3 linked regions of the Coturnix japonica genome follow. The protein of the gene in region 1 interacts with the protein of each later gene in a pairwise test. Links are inferred from orthologs where the notes say so. Each region holds a gene or a part of one and is shown in the gene's direction. Other genes may lie near its edges.

Evidence for each region.
Region 2: the proteins of LEMD3 (region 1) and SMAD1 interact in binary tests that used the Homo sapiens proteins (3 or more experiments, as listed by UniProt). The link is inferred for Coturnix japonica from reciprocal best matches to the Homo sapiens genes LEMD3 and SMAD1.
Region 3: the proteins of LEMD3 (region 1) and SMAD9 interact in binary tests that used the Homo sapiens proteins (3 or more experiments, as listed by UniProt). The link is inferred for Coturnix japonica from reciprocal best matches to the Homo sapiens genes LEMD3 and SMAD9.

What each region holds. Positions count from the first base shown.
Region 1 is NC_029516.1:30,815,557-30,819,223, forward strand, and holds the start of LEMD3 (inner nuclear membrane protein Man1), read left to right. Parts: upstream 1-849; 5' UTR 850-925; coding exon 926-2,324; intron 2,325-2,330; exon of another isoform or gene 2,331-3,667.
Region 2 is NC_029519.1:27,382,313-27,385,752, forward strand, and holds the end of SMAD1 (mothers against decapentaplegic homolog 1), read left to right. Parts: intron 1-231; coding exon 232-375; 3' UTR 376-2,815; downstream 2,816-3,440. UniProt on the Homo sapiens protein: Transcriptional modulator that plays a role in various cellular processes, including embryonic development, cell differentiation, and tissue homeostasis.
Region 3 is NC_029516.1:154,136,746-154,140,496, forward strand, and holds the start of SMAD9 (mothers against decapentaplegic homolog 9), read left to right. Parts: upstream 1-931; 5' UTR 932-990; intron 991-3,751. UniProt on the Homo sapiens protein: Transcriptional modulator activated by BMP (bone morphogenetic proteins) type 1 receptor kinase. SMAD9 is a receptor-regulated SMAD (R-SMAD).

The sequences.
Region 1 (3,667 bases):
CTCACTGCAGCAGACCCAGAGTGGGAAACATACATCTGCTCTTACCACCAGACCCTGCTTCTGGACCATTGTGCGTGCATTGCTACAAGGGCAATTATAGTCAGACTGAAATGGAAACAGTGCTGCATTTATGGTGTGCTCATGGGTGGGTAGGCCAAGAGTTTGTCGTTTGGGATGGTCAGACAAAGGCACATGGGTCACAAAGGGACTTTGCAGTCTCTACATGAGGCCTATATGTCAAAGGGCAACCACAGAATCACAGAATCACAGAATGACCCGGGTTGGAAGGGACCTCAAGGATCATGTAGTTCCAACCCCCCTGCCTGGCAGGGCCACCAAACATACACCTTTACTAGATCAGGTTGCCCAGGGCCCCGTCCAACCTGGTCTTGAACACCTCCAAGGACGGGGCATCCACAGCCTCCCTGCGCAGCCTGTTCCAGGACCAGGAGGGCTGGCACATGCCCCACGCAGAGAAATGCCAATCGGCACAATTATTTTGACAAACACCCATGTGATGAACACACTTGATGTATGTTGTTAGTTTTCACGGTTCTATATTTGAGACGGTATATTTTCCTACAGAAAACAGCATCTCCAGACACTGGTATGTCTAAGGAGAGTGATGCTCAGGGCACATCTTCCATTGAGCTCATTGAGGAGCACATCACAGCAACATCTCACAGCGCTGCCTGTCTTTTAGGAGAGGGCTGAGGATCGGCTGTGTGTGCATGAGCAGCGGCTCACACGGTGCAGGTGGGGTCTGGGTGTACCCAGAGCCGCAGCCGAGCCAGGGCCGGGGGCGGGCGGTGCCTGGGGGTGACGGGCGGGTCTAGGCCACAGCCGAGTGCGCACGCGTCAGTTCCGGCGGGGAGCGCGGCGCGGCGCGTGGGTAGGAAACGCCGCGGCGGCGGGGGAGCGGAAAATGGCGGCGGCCGCGCAGCTGACGGATGAGGAGCTGTTCTCGGAGCTCAGGCGCTTCGGCTTCTCTCCGGGGCCGGTCACCGAGAGCACCCGGCCCGTCTATCTGAAGAAGCTGAAGAAGCTGCGCGAGGAGGAGCGAGCCGGGGCCCGCGGCGGCGCCAACAAGACCCGGAACAGCAACAACAATAACACGGCGGCCGGAGGCGGCGGCGGCGGCGCCGGGAGAGCGGGCGCGGGCGGGCGGCTGTCGGGCGCCGAGCACCCGTACCTCCACGGGGCTGGGCGGAGCCGCGCTGCACCCCCTGCCGGGGGCGGCAAAGTGCTGCTGGGCTTCAGCTCCGACGAGTCGGACGCGGAGCCCGGCCCTCGCGGCCAGGCCGGCGGCAGGAGGGAGCGGGCTTCGCCCCTCTTCCGTGCGGCGAGGCCCGGCGGCGGCCCGGCCCCCCCGGAGGAGGCGGCCCGGCGGAAGCACGGCGCCTGGTGGGGGGCGGCGGCGGCACGCAGAGCGGATCCGAGAGCCTGGGAGCGTGGGGACGGCGGGGAGGAGGACGACGACGACGCGGAGGAGGAGGAGGAGAAGGGCGAGCAGCGGCGGTGGAAGAACCGGACCGTGAACGGCAGCCGGCTGCTCGCCTGCGGCGGGAACGAGTACTCAGACTCGGAGGAAGAGGAGGCGGCGGCCCGGCAGCAGGTACCGAGGGAGGAGGCGGCGGCCCGACGGCACAGACGGAGCCTCGGCAAGTCCGCGCCGTTCACAGCGAGCAAATGCGCCGCGGCCGGTGCCGGCGCGATGGAGAGGGACGGCGGGGGATGCGGTGCCGGCGCGACTGACGGGGCGGCGGGGGCGGCCGCTGCCGGGAGCCGAGACGGGGGCGGGAGCCGCGAGGAGACGGCGGCCGCTGCGGGGGGAAGATGCGAGAGTCCGGAGCCGGGTCCCATCGGCCCCCGGTATCGCCTCGGTCCGGCCAGGAGGGGCCCCGCGGCGCCGCTCTCGGACGCGGACGGCGGTGACGGCGCCGAGCCCCCGGGCGCCGCCAGGAAGGCCACCAACAACCACGTCCTCGGCGGGGCCGCCGGCAGCTACGGCACAGAGGCCAGGATCTATTCCGCTACCAACAGCCTCCCCCCGGGCGGGAGCGCCTCCCTCAGACTCAACCACTCCAATCATACGGGTTCAAATCACACCTACCTGAAAAACACCTACAAGAAGAATCTCTCCGAGCCCGAGGAGGAGCTTCTCCAACAGTTCAAAAGAGAGGAGGTATCCACCACTGGAGGCTTCAGTGCACATTACCTGTCCATGTTCCTCTTAACTGCTGCATGCTTGTTCTTTCTGATACTGGGATTCACATACCTGAGAATGAGAGGTTCTGGAGTAGCTGAGGATGTGGGAGCCAACAGTAAGTATTAGGTCAAGGGGAAGGGCAGTTAATTTCTGCAAGGGGATGTACTGCTGCTAATCCAACTCTGCGTTCTCAGGTGGTCTGTGCTGCACAGTTTGTGGTTCTGCTGTTCCATAAATTTCCCACTTAGGTTGGAGCACACAGGAACTGACTGGCCTTCCTAAAGCGATGTAGTGAAGCTTGCCAGACGTTTGGGGATAAACCCATATTCTTATTATTCTCTGCTGTAATCTATTGGTACCTTGTTTTCTAGCATGTTTTGTTCAGTCTAGAAGATCATGGTTAATAGACAGTCGACAAGGTAAGGCTTTTACCCACCTCAGAGAAGATGCTCGTTTGGATACCTGGGATTCTTGCAGGGCAAAGGTTCGACTGTAGTTGTTAAGTAATGAAGCAGGTTGCCTTTGTGTGTATGTGTGTTGAGGCTGGGGAGGATGCTGGGCTGATTTTTTTTTTCAACGCTATGACAAACTTTGTGCAGTTTTTTAACCTGTTGTATACTATTTTCGAATATGTGCTTATACATTTAAAATGTGATTATGCACTAAATGCTATTGTGCTGTACTTTGGTTTTCACAGCATTTTTTTTTTTTAATTTAATCCTATACTATTTGGGTGTGTCTTTAATACATGGAAGCAATTTATTGGAATGGGTGTGGAAACTACCATTTTCCATTCACAAAACATCTGAAGATGGAAGTGTGCCATTTCCACCTAAGGAGGCATAATACCAGAATGAAAAACCATGCTGTTACTCATTGGGAGCAATGAAAAATTGCTCAAAAAGCTTGTTTTGGGATGTAAGACCATTAGAAGGTTCTTGGAGATTTGTAGAATCATAGAATGGCCTGGATTGAAAAGGACCACAATGATCATCCAGTTTCAACCTCCCTGCTATGTGCAGGGTCATCAGCCACCAGACCAGACTGCCCAGAGCCACATCCAGCCTGGCCTTGAATGCCTGCAGGGATGGGGCATCCACAGCCTCCTTGGGCAACCTGTGCTAGTGATTGTATTGTTCTTGCAATCACTTAGGAGAAATATGTGGACATATGTTCATATGTATCTGAGACATTTCTTAATATTTCTTTGTACGGATTTTAGGGCATGTGTATAATCATACGTGAACATAAATACAAGTGCCTTGCATGGAATGATCCTGCTGCTAGTTTGGGTTCTGCTAGAAGTTACAGGACAGATGGAGCTGAAATTATTCTGTTTATCTTTTGTTTTTATTTTTCCCTTTCATTTTATTACATTGCAGTAACTATAATAGAATAGTTTTATTTTTCATGCTTTCTGTGGGAGGAGTGGAGACAAAGAATTAAGTGTTTAAGAAA
Region 2 (3,440 bases), on another chromosome or scaffold:
AGTTCAATTCCAAGAGATCACAAAATGACAATTGCTGCAAATTTTGTTTTGTTTTTTTTTCAAACTTGGGGTTTGTTTGTTGAAATGTGATAGTGATCAGATGCTGTTCTGCTGAAAATCACTTATGAAAGCTAGATTATTTCAGTAAGAAAGAAATGGATTCAAGTGTGCTTCTCATGTATTTGCTATTATCAGTAAGATGATTTTCCCTGCCTATGATTCTGTTTCCAGGGTTGGGGAGCTGAATATCATCGACAAGATGTAACGAGTACTCCATGCTGGATAGAGATACACCTTCACGGTCCCCTTCAGTGGCTGGATAAAGTACTTACTCAGATGGGCTCTCCTCATAATCCTATTTCTTCAGTGTCTTAAGGTCCCAAGCTCCTGCATTTTGGAAACAACGAGCCTTGCGTGTACTTGAAGGACGTATGAGTCAGACACACACTTTTTTCATTTTTCCCCCCTGAACTGACAACAGCTGAGTAAGAGCCATGAAAATAATTTACTTTTGTGACCAACTGTTGGATTCGGGGAAGAAAACAATACAACAAAACGCAATGAAAAAAGAAAACAAAAACCAACCCCTTTGACATAATACTGTTGGTATCAAGTATTTTAGTTTACACAGTAACGTTCTACTGCAAAGTTGATTTGCAGGCCTTACCATAAAGGAGGCTACTGAGCCAGAACAACAAGCTGTTGGACTGAGTCCACAAAGGAGTTTCCTATGGTTGGCACTCTGAGATTCTCTTCCTTCATGACATCCAGCACTCACTGCTTTTTTCCCCCACGTTGTCCCCTTGGGCTAGGAGCTAATGTTGGTGAAGCCTGCTTTTAGCAGGCTTTCTGCAGTATGTTTTAAAATCATTTGTTTAAGCTGATGGTTATTCTTCTCTTTATAAGACAGACATACAAACAAAAAACAACCAAACCAAACACCTAACATATAGTTTTAATACCAATAACTTGTCATAATCTTGGAAACTGTGTCCTGACCGTACTGCTGTAAGAATGTTAGGAATGTTTTTTGGTAAATGTATGTATGGTGTATTTGAAAGTTTAGAAATCCTTTAGACGTAGACCCATAAAGGAATTAGGAGTATTTGAATGGGGGGAAGAGGGAGTGGGAAGAGAAGGTGACAACTGAAATGTAGAATATATTGTAAACATAGGTTGTTAGTTTAAACTGAGGTCTGAGTTTTGCTGTGCATTTCATTTTTATAGTGGCTTCACCTTGATAATTCTGACTTTTTTTTTTTTTGCCTCTTCCTTTTTCTCCCAGAGCAATTGCGCAGCTGGTTAATTCTTTTTACCTCTGAAGAGGACAAAATGATTAATTCCTGCAGTTGGAAGGCTGCAGCTCTATGTATTTCAAGACAAAGTTGTACAGTGTGCTCTTTTAACTATTGAGCAGTTTTATACAGTGTATGTAACAGAAATAGGCTTTTAATTTTGTAAGAGAATCTTGTTTTGCCAAATCTAGAAACTGTTAATTGTTTGGAGGGCTTCAGAATCCTCATGTGGGTCTGTTTCAAACTTTTAAAAATATATATATTTTTAATTTTTTTTTTTTTTACGGCTTGGTTTATTGTCTTCTCTTTGATCTTTTATATTCACGTAAGCTGTAGTACTTTAAGTACCTTTATTCCAAACTTAGCGGCTCCTCTTTACTGGAAGTTTTGAATAAAACCTGTTGTTACTGCTTACATTTGATTAAAACTTTGTCTTGTCCACTTCTTAGTAGATTTTGACAAACCAGATAAAGATGTGATCTTGGAGGAGGAACAGCTAGAAGTGAAGAGACACTGACATTTATGGCTAGTACAGGTTAGTAACCCTACGGAAGTTAGCATGGGAGATAAATAAGCTCTCTAGATGGAAAGACTTCTTAATTATATATTAATATGGATGCAGTAACACAGAAATTCCAGTTCATAAAATTTCTGTGTTTTCAACATACAGTATCTGAACAGAGAGTTTTGCCTTTTACAGAAATATCTAGCAAACTGTAGACTGTGTGGGGGTGACTGAGTCAGGACTGTTACACATTGACTGAGATCTGAGAAACTCAGTGAGAAATGCTTGTAATGTAAGAGTTCAAGTGAGATATGACTTCAGTTGTGACCTTCTTTTTCTCTTGTTTTAAAATAAGTAGGTCTGATCCCCTTCCATGAAGTGTTTAGAGGTCTCCATTAAAATAAATACTTCCCTCCTTTACAGTATTTTTTTTTTTAATCATGTGGAGGTTGTTTGAATGCCTGTGTTCCATGGAGAAAGTGTTTGGACACAGCTGTTGTGTATCAGCCTTCACAATCTCTTGTGTGTTTGCCTTGTGGAGGGTATTGCTGCCTCCCAGCTGTTTTGCTGGAGACCTGATGGAGGTGAAGGCCATAGTGGCAGTGTGGTTTTTTGTCTTTGCAACTTTAATAACATTTTTTTTAAAATTCATATTAACATGACTTTTAAAGTGCTGATCAAGGCACAAGTCTTAAGCTTTTAAGTTAAAGGTGATCATAAAAAGGAAATAATACTGTTTCCTGTTGGCTCACTCTGCTTTTTTTTTTTTTTTTATCTTTTCTTCAATCCCTTCTATATTCACTTTCAGCTGTTCCCAACCAGGTTTCCTTCTTCTGTTGACAAAAATTGGGCAGTTTTTGTTTTTTTTTTCTTTTTAAGTGCTACAACCACCCACCAGTCACACAGGTCTTAAGTAATAAAAGTGTTTCTGCCTCCCCATATTTGGATGATCCCATGAGAACTATAATAAACTTTCAAATAGCCTTGAAATAAAGACAGTTCTGTTGCAAATGTTTTTGAGTGTTACTGTCTCTTAAGTTTTGGGCAGCCAGGTGAGGGACCAAACCAATCAAACCAGTTCAGATCAGCTGGACCTTTCTCATTCCCAAGAGATACTAGCAGACTTGGCCATATGTATGTAATTCCTCTCTTTTTCCTAAATGGGGGTTGAAATCAGCTACTATTTGTAGAGAAACTTAATGCTTTTGTGGGTCCCAGTCTTTTGAAATTCTGTTTAGAATTTTTCTATGCTTTTGGTATAGTTGAATTGCAGTGTACATATTGTTTTCTTTAAATATTATCCAGCTTTTTGTTTGTGGTAAGGAGATATTAAGTGTAGAAGAAAAGTACACCTTCATGTGATGACTCAGAAAATCTCAGCTGGACTTTGTTATATAAGTTGATGAGTAGCACCTGAGACTAATTACCAGAAAAACAGGTGATAGAACAGCAGCAACCTTAAAAGTAACTGCTAGCCTGAGGCTGTTATGAACATTTTTTGGAGCAGCTCAGAGAAGTTTTCTTACTGATTTGCTCTATTCTGGATAGCTGGAATTAGAAAGTCAGCAAAGATGCAGGACAAAAGGAAAGCTTTTTTATGCTGGCCTCTCACAGAACAGAAAGATGAGAGCTCCCTGGGC
Region 3 (3,751 bases), about 120 Mb from region 1:
ACTTGTAGGTAATTCGAGGGTTTAAGGGGTAATACCTAAGGCAGATCATACATCCACTTTTCAACAGCAGTTTACTGTTCTCTGTGCAGTGTCACGGGCCGATGGGACCACTCACAACCCTGTGAAGGTATTACAACCCAGTTTGTAACACAATTTATGTTTGAATTACTCTTAGGAGGTAAATGGAAATTCAAAGAGACCGGCTCACAAAACCATTGGGCAGCAAAATTCCAGGCACTGCCTGCTGGGCTGGTGGGACCCCAGCAGCTGGATCCCACAGCCACAAGCACTGCTGTGACCGTGGGACGAAGAGGACACCTCCAATACTGACATCCCCGGTGTGTCATCCAGGCAGAGGATCCTGAGGAGAGCTGGTGGTCCCGCACAGCCCGGGGAGGTACAACCGGAGCCCAGCTCCCTCACAGGGCACTGTCCCAGTGTCCCCCTCACAGCCACCCCGCGGTGCTCGGAGCCATTTGTGAGGGGTCTGGTCACATCCCCGGAGGGACACTCGGGAAGGGAGGGCTGTGCGCTTCTCCTCGCCCCCTCGGGGTGCCCAGGCCCGGCTTCTGCCCCTAGAGAGACGGGGCGGGAAATGGCGGCGCTCGGGGACCGGGATGGGTGCGATGCAGAGAGTGAGCGGGGCGAGCGGCGCGCAGTGGGTGCGGAGGGTGAACTGTATGAGTGTGTCACACTCCATGTAGTGTGTGTGTGTGAGAGAGAGAGGGAAAAAGAGCGAGTGTGCGCGCGAGGCGGGCGGCGGGGGGAGCGCAGGGGCGGGCCGGCGGCAGCGGCGCTGCTGGCCGCGCTCCAGCCCGGCGCACTAATACAGGCTGGCGGCTCCCGCCTGACTGACGCCGGCCGGGGCTGCTGCTGCCGCTGCCGCTGCCGCGCTGCGCCCTGGCCCCGCCGCCGCCGCGCAGCTGCAGCCCCAGCCCCGCTCCCGCCCGCGGCGCGCCGAGACCCCCACCCAGCCCGCAACGGTGGCAGGTAAGAGCCGGGATCCCGGCCGCGTCCCGGGACGCAGCGCGGTGCCCAAAGTTCGTGCCGGGGTCGGGCGGCGCACCTGGGGCCGGCGGTGCGGGCGGCATCACCACCGGGAGGGAGGGAGGGTGGGAGGCATCCCCCGGGACGGTGCCCATCGGCGGGATGCGGGAGACACGGCGACGCCAGGGCTGAGAGCGAAAAGGAGGAGCGCGGGGAGAAAAGAGCGTTGTTGTGGATGGCTGGAGGCTGACAAGCATTCCCGCTGCGAGGGCTGCTTTCCTTAAGGAAAACAAAACCCACATGACTCGTTCGGAGAGAGTTTTTTCCCTTGCAGAGGTTATTTTCTGATCGAGAAATCCCGGCGCCGGACGCGCTCCCGAATAGAACAGAGCAGATTTGGGTTTGCGCTCCAGCTGCAGGCGCGGGGTCCTTCAGAACCAAACCGAACCGGGGTGACCCGCGATTGGGCCCGTTTGTATCCGATTCCGATCTCGTGTGTCGGCAACTTTGTGTTTTCCCACTTGGATTTATTTGATGGGTGAATTAATTTGATCCTTGCCGGGGCTGCTCGCTAAGGCACGTCAGTGGGAATAAAAATAAATGACACACACATGCGTGCGCACAAACACACGCGTGCTGTTAATTGCTGGCGTTTTACAGATTTGTGAGCGGGGAGGGGGGGAAAAAAAAGCACAGCCCAGAATGGCCAAGTCTTCGGTGAATGAGCTCTGCCTTGGCAGCGGTAGGAAGTGATGTGCACGTCTCTGGAACACGTTCAAGTTTGTGGCTGCCGGGGAAGGACACTGCAGAGAGCACGAGTTTCGGTGCTTTGCATCTCCTGTGTGCAGAGATGTGCGGCTGTATGGGTGGCGATGCCCTCCTCGGATCCCAAAATATAAGCTTGAGAAAAAGCCACGAAAGTCTTCCCGTCAGCCACGGGAGGATGAATGTCATCGCTCACCCAAACGTCATCCAGGCTGACAGCTCCCGTTGTCCAGGTTTGATGTGTGCCCACGTCTGCTTAGTTTGCGTTTGTTTCCTTCTATACTTCAGAGCCGAGGCTTCAGGTGTAATTTTTGTTTCATTTATTTGACATACTGAGTTACTTCGGCCACAAAGTGTGCCACAAAGTATTCTTAAAGTGAATCCTTTCAAGAAACACCCTGTGTTCTTCCTTCTGAGTTCTGCAGTAATTTCTGCTCCTGTCTGCCCTTTATGGTGGAGTTACAAATGTTCTTCCTCACCCTGTTGCAGGCATACAAGCGATAAAGCAATAACCGCAAAAACAAATAAGGGTCACTTGTATTTTATCCCAATTTGATCAGGATTTTTGTTTTCATTGGAGTTGGGGATGGATGCTCTTATTTACGTGCAGAACTAAACTGAACACACACAAAGGTTTGCTCTGAGCTCTCAACTTTGCAGAGCAGTTAAGCATTAATATTTTATCAATGCACTTGTCCCAGGCTGAGAGCACATACACGTATGCCGCATACCTACAGAAGGTGGAGGCGAGGCACTCGGAGCCCTTGCACACAAACTGGTGGTGGTTCCCCATCTGCCTTCACTGGGGACAAGGCAAGGCCCGACCCACTAAAATAGGACCACAGAAATGTTGGCGTAGCGTATCACGTAACATCTGGACAGTTAATCCTCCTTTCTCCCCTTTTATTCTTTTACAGACTTTGTGTATCTCGAGCTTGAATCCTCAGATATCTGCTGTTATCGGCTCGGCAGATAGGGTGTCATGTAATCCTCTGTGCTGAATGCTAAAGTGCTGTAATTCTGATGGCCTGGCTAATCTTTCTCGATAAAGTTTTATTTTTCCATTGTTAAATTCAAAGGACAGTGACTACTAATTACAAGTGACCTCTAACCAAAACACCAGTTAGCATTTATCGCTGCTGCTGATACTCGCTAAGAGTAATTCCAGCATCAGCTCTATGGGGCACCCTGCTTCAGAGAAACCCAAAAGAATAAAGGGAGCTAAAAGGGGAGAAAATACATAAGCTCTGGGTCATTTGTGGTAAAAATGTAGTGCGAGCGTCCATAGATTCCATTTGCTCTGCAGTATGTCTGTTGCAAATAATAATGACATGGATGAGGAAGAAATAATTAAAAATATCATCAATATTTTAACTGAAAACAGCACAGCAAAAACGTACAGAAGGTTGTTATGGTAGGCTGCCTGGTTTCCTGCTGCAGGCTGGTATAAAGAATCATTAGTGTTATTGTACATTAACAGCAAAAGATAGTAATAGCAATGACAATTTGAGAGAATCATTGCTTTCCTATTACTGTCTTTGAGAGCATTTGTTCTAAGAAACATTAGACTGAATACAGTGTAATAAAATTAATTTTTTTCAAAAATATCCCCAATTATTTCCCATCTTACATTCTTTTATAATGTTTGAATGGTAATAGCATAATAGCATGGGAATTTTACAGATGAAGAGGTGAATTAAAGAGTCCAGGGCTCTGCGTATTTATTATGGTAGCTGAAAACCACGCTGTGCTTTTGCAGATGAGTTAGATCTAATAGACTGCGGGATCAGAGCCCAGTCTGAGATCCTGACAAACAGATGTACGCATTTAAAACAAAACAGGTGAAACTTTTTCTGCCCAGGTTTTAGTGAAGATACCTGTGATTTTTAGATGAGTTGCTGCACAGGACCGACAGCAGGATTCTGAAAGAGCTATTGCAGCATCTCAGACAGGTGAAGCAGTTTTACTTTGAAGTTCAGCTCCTCAGGACAAGGACACA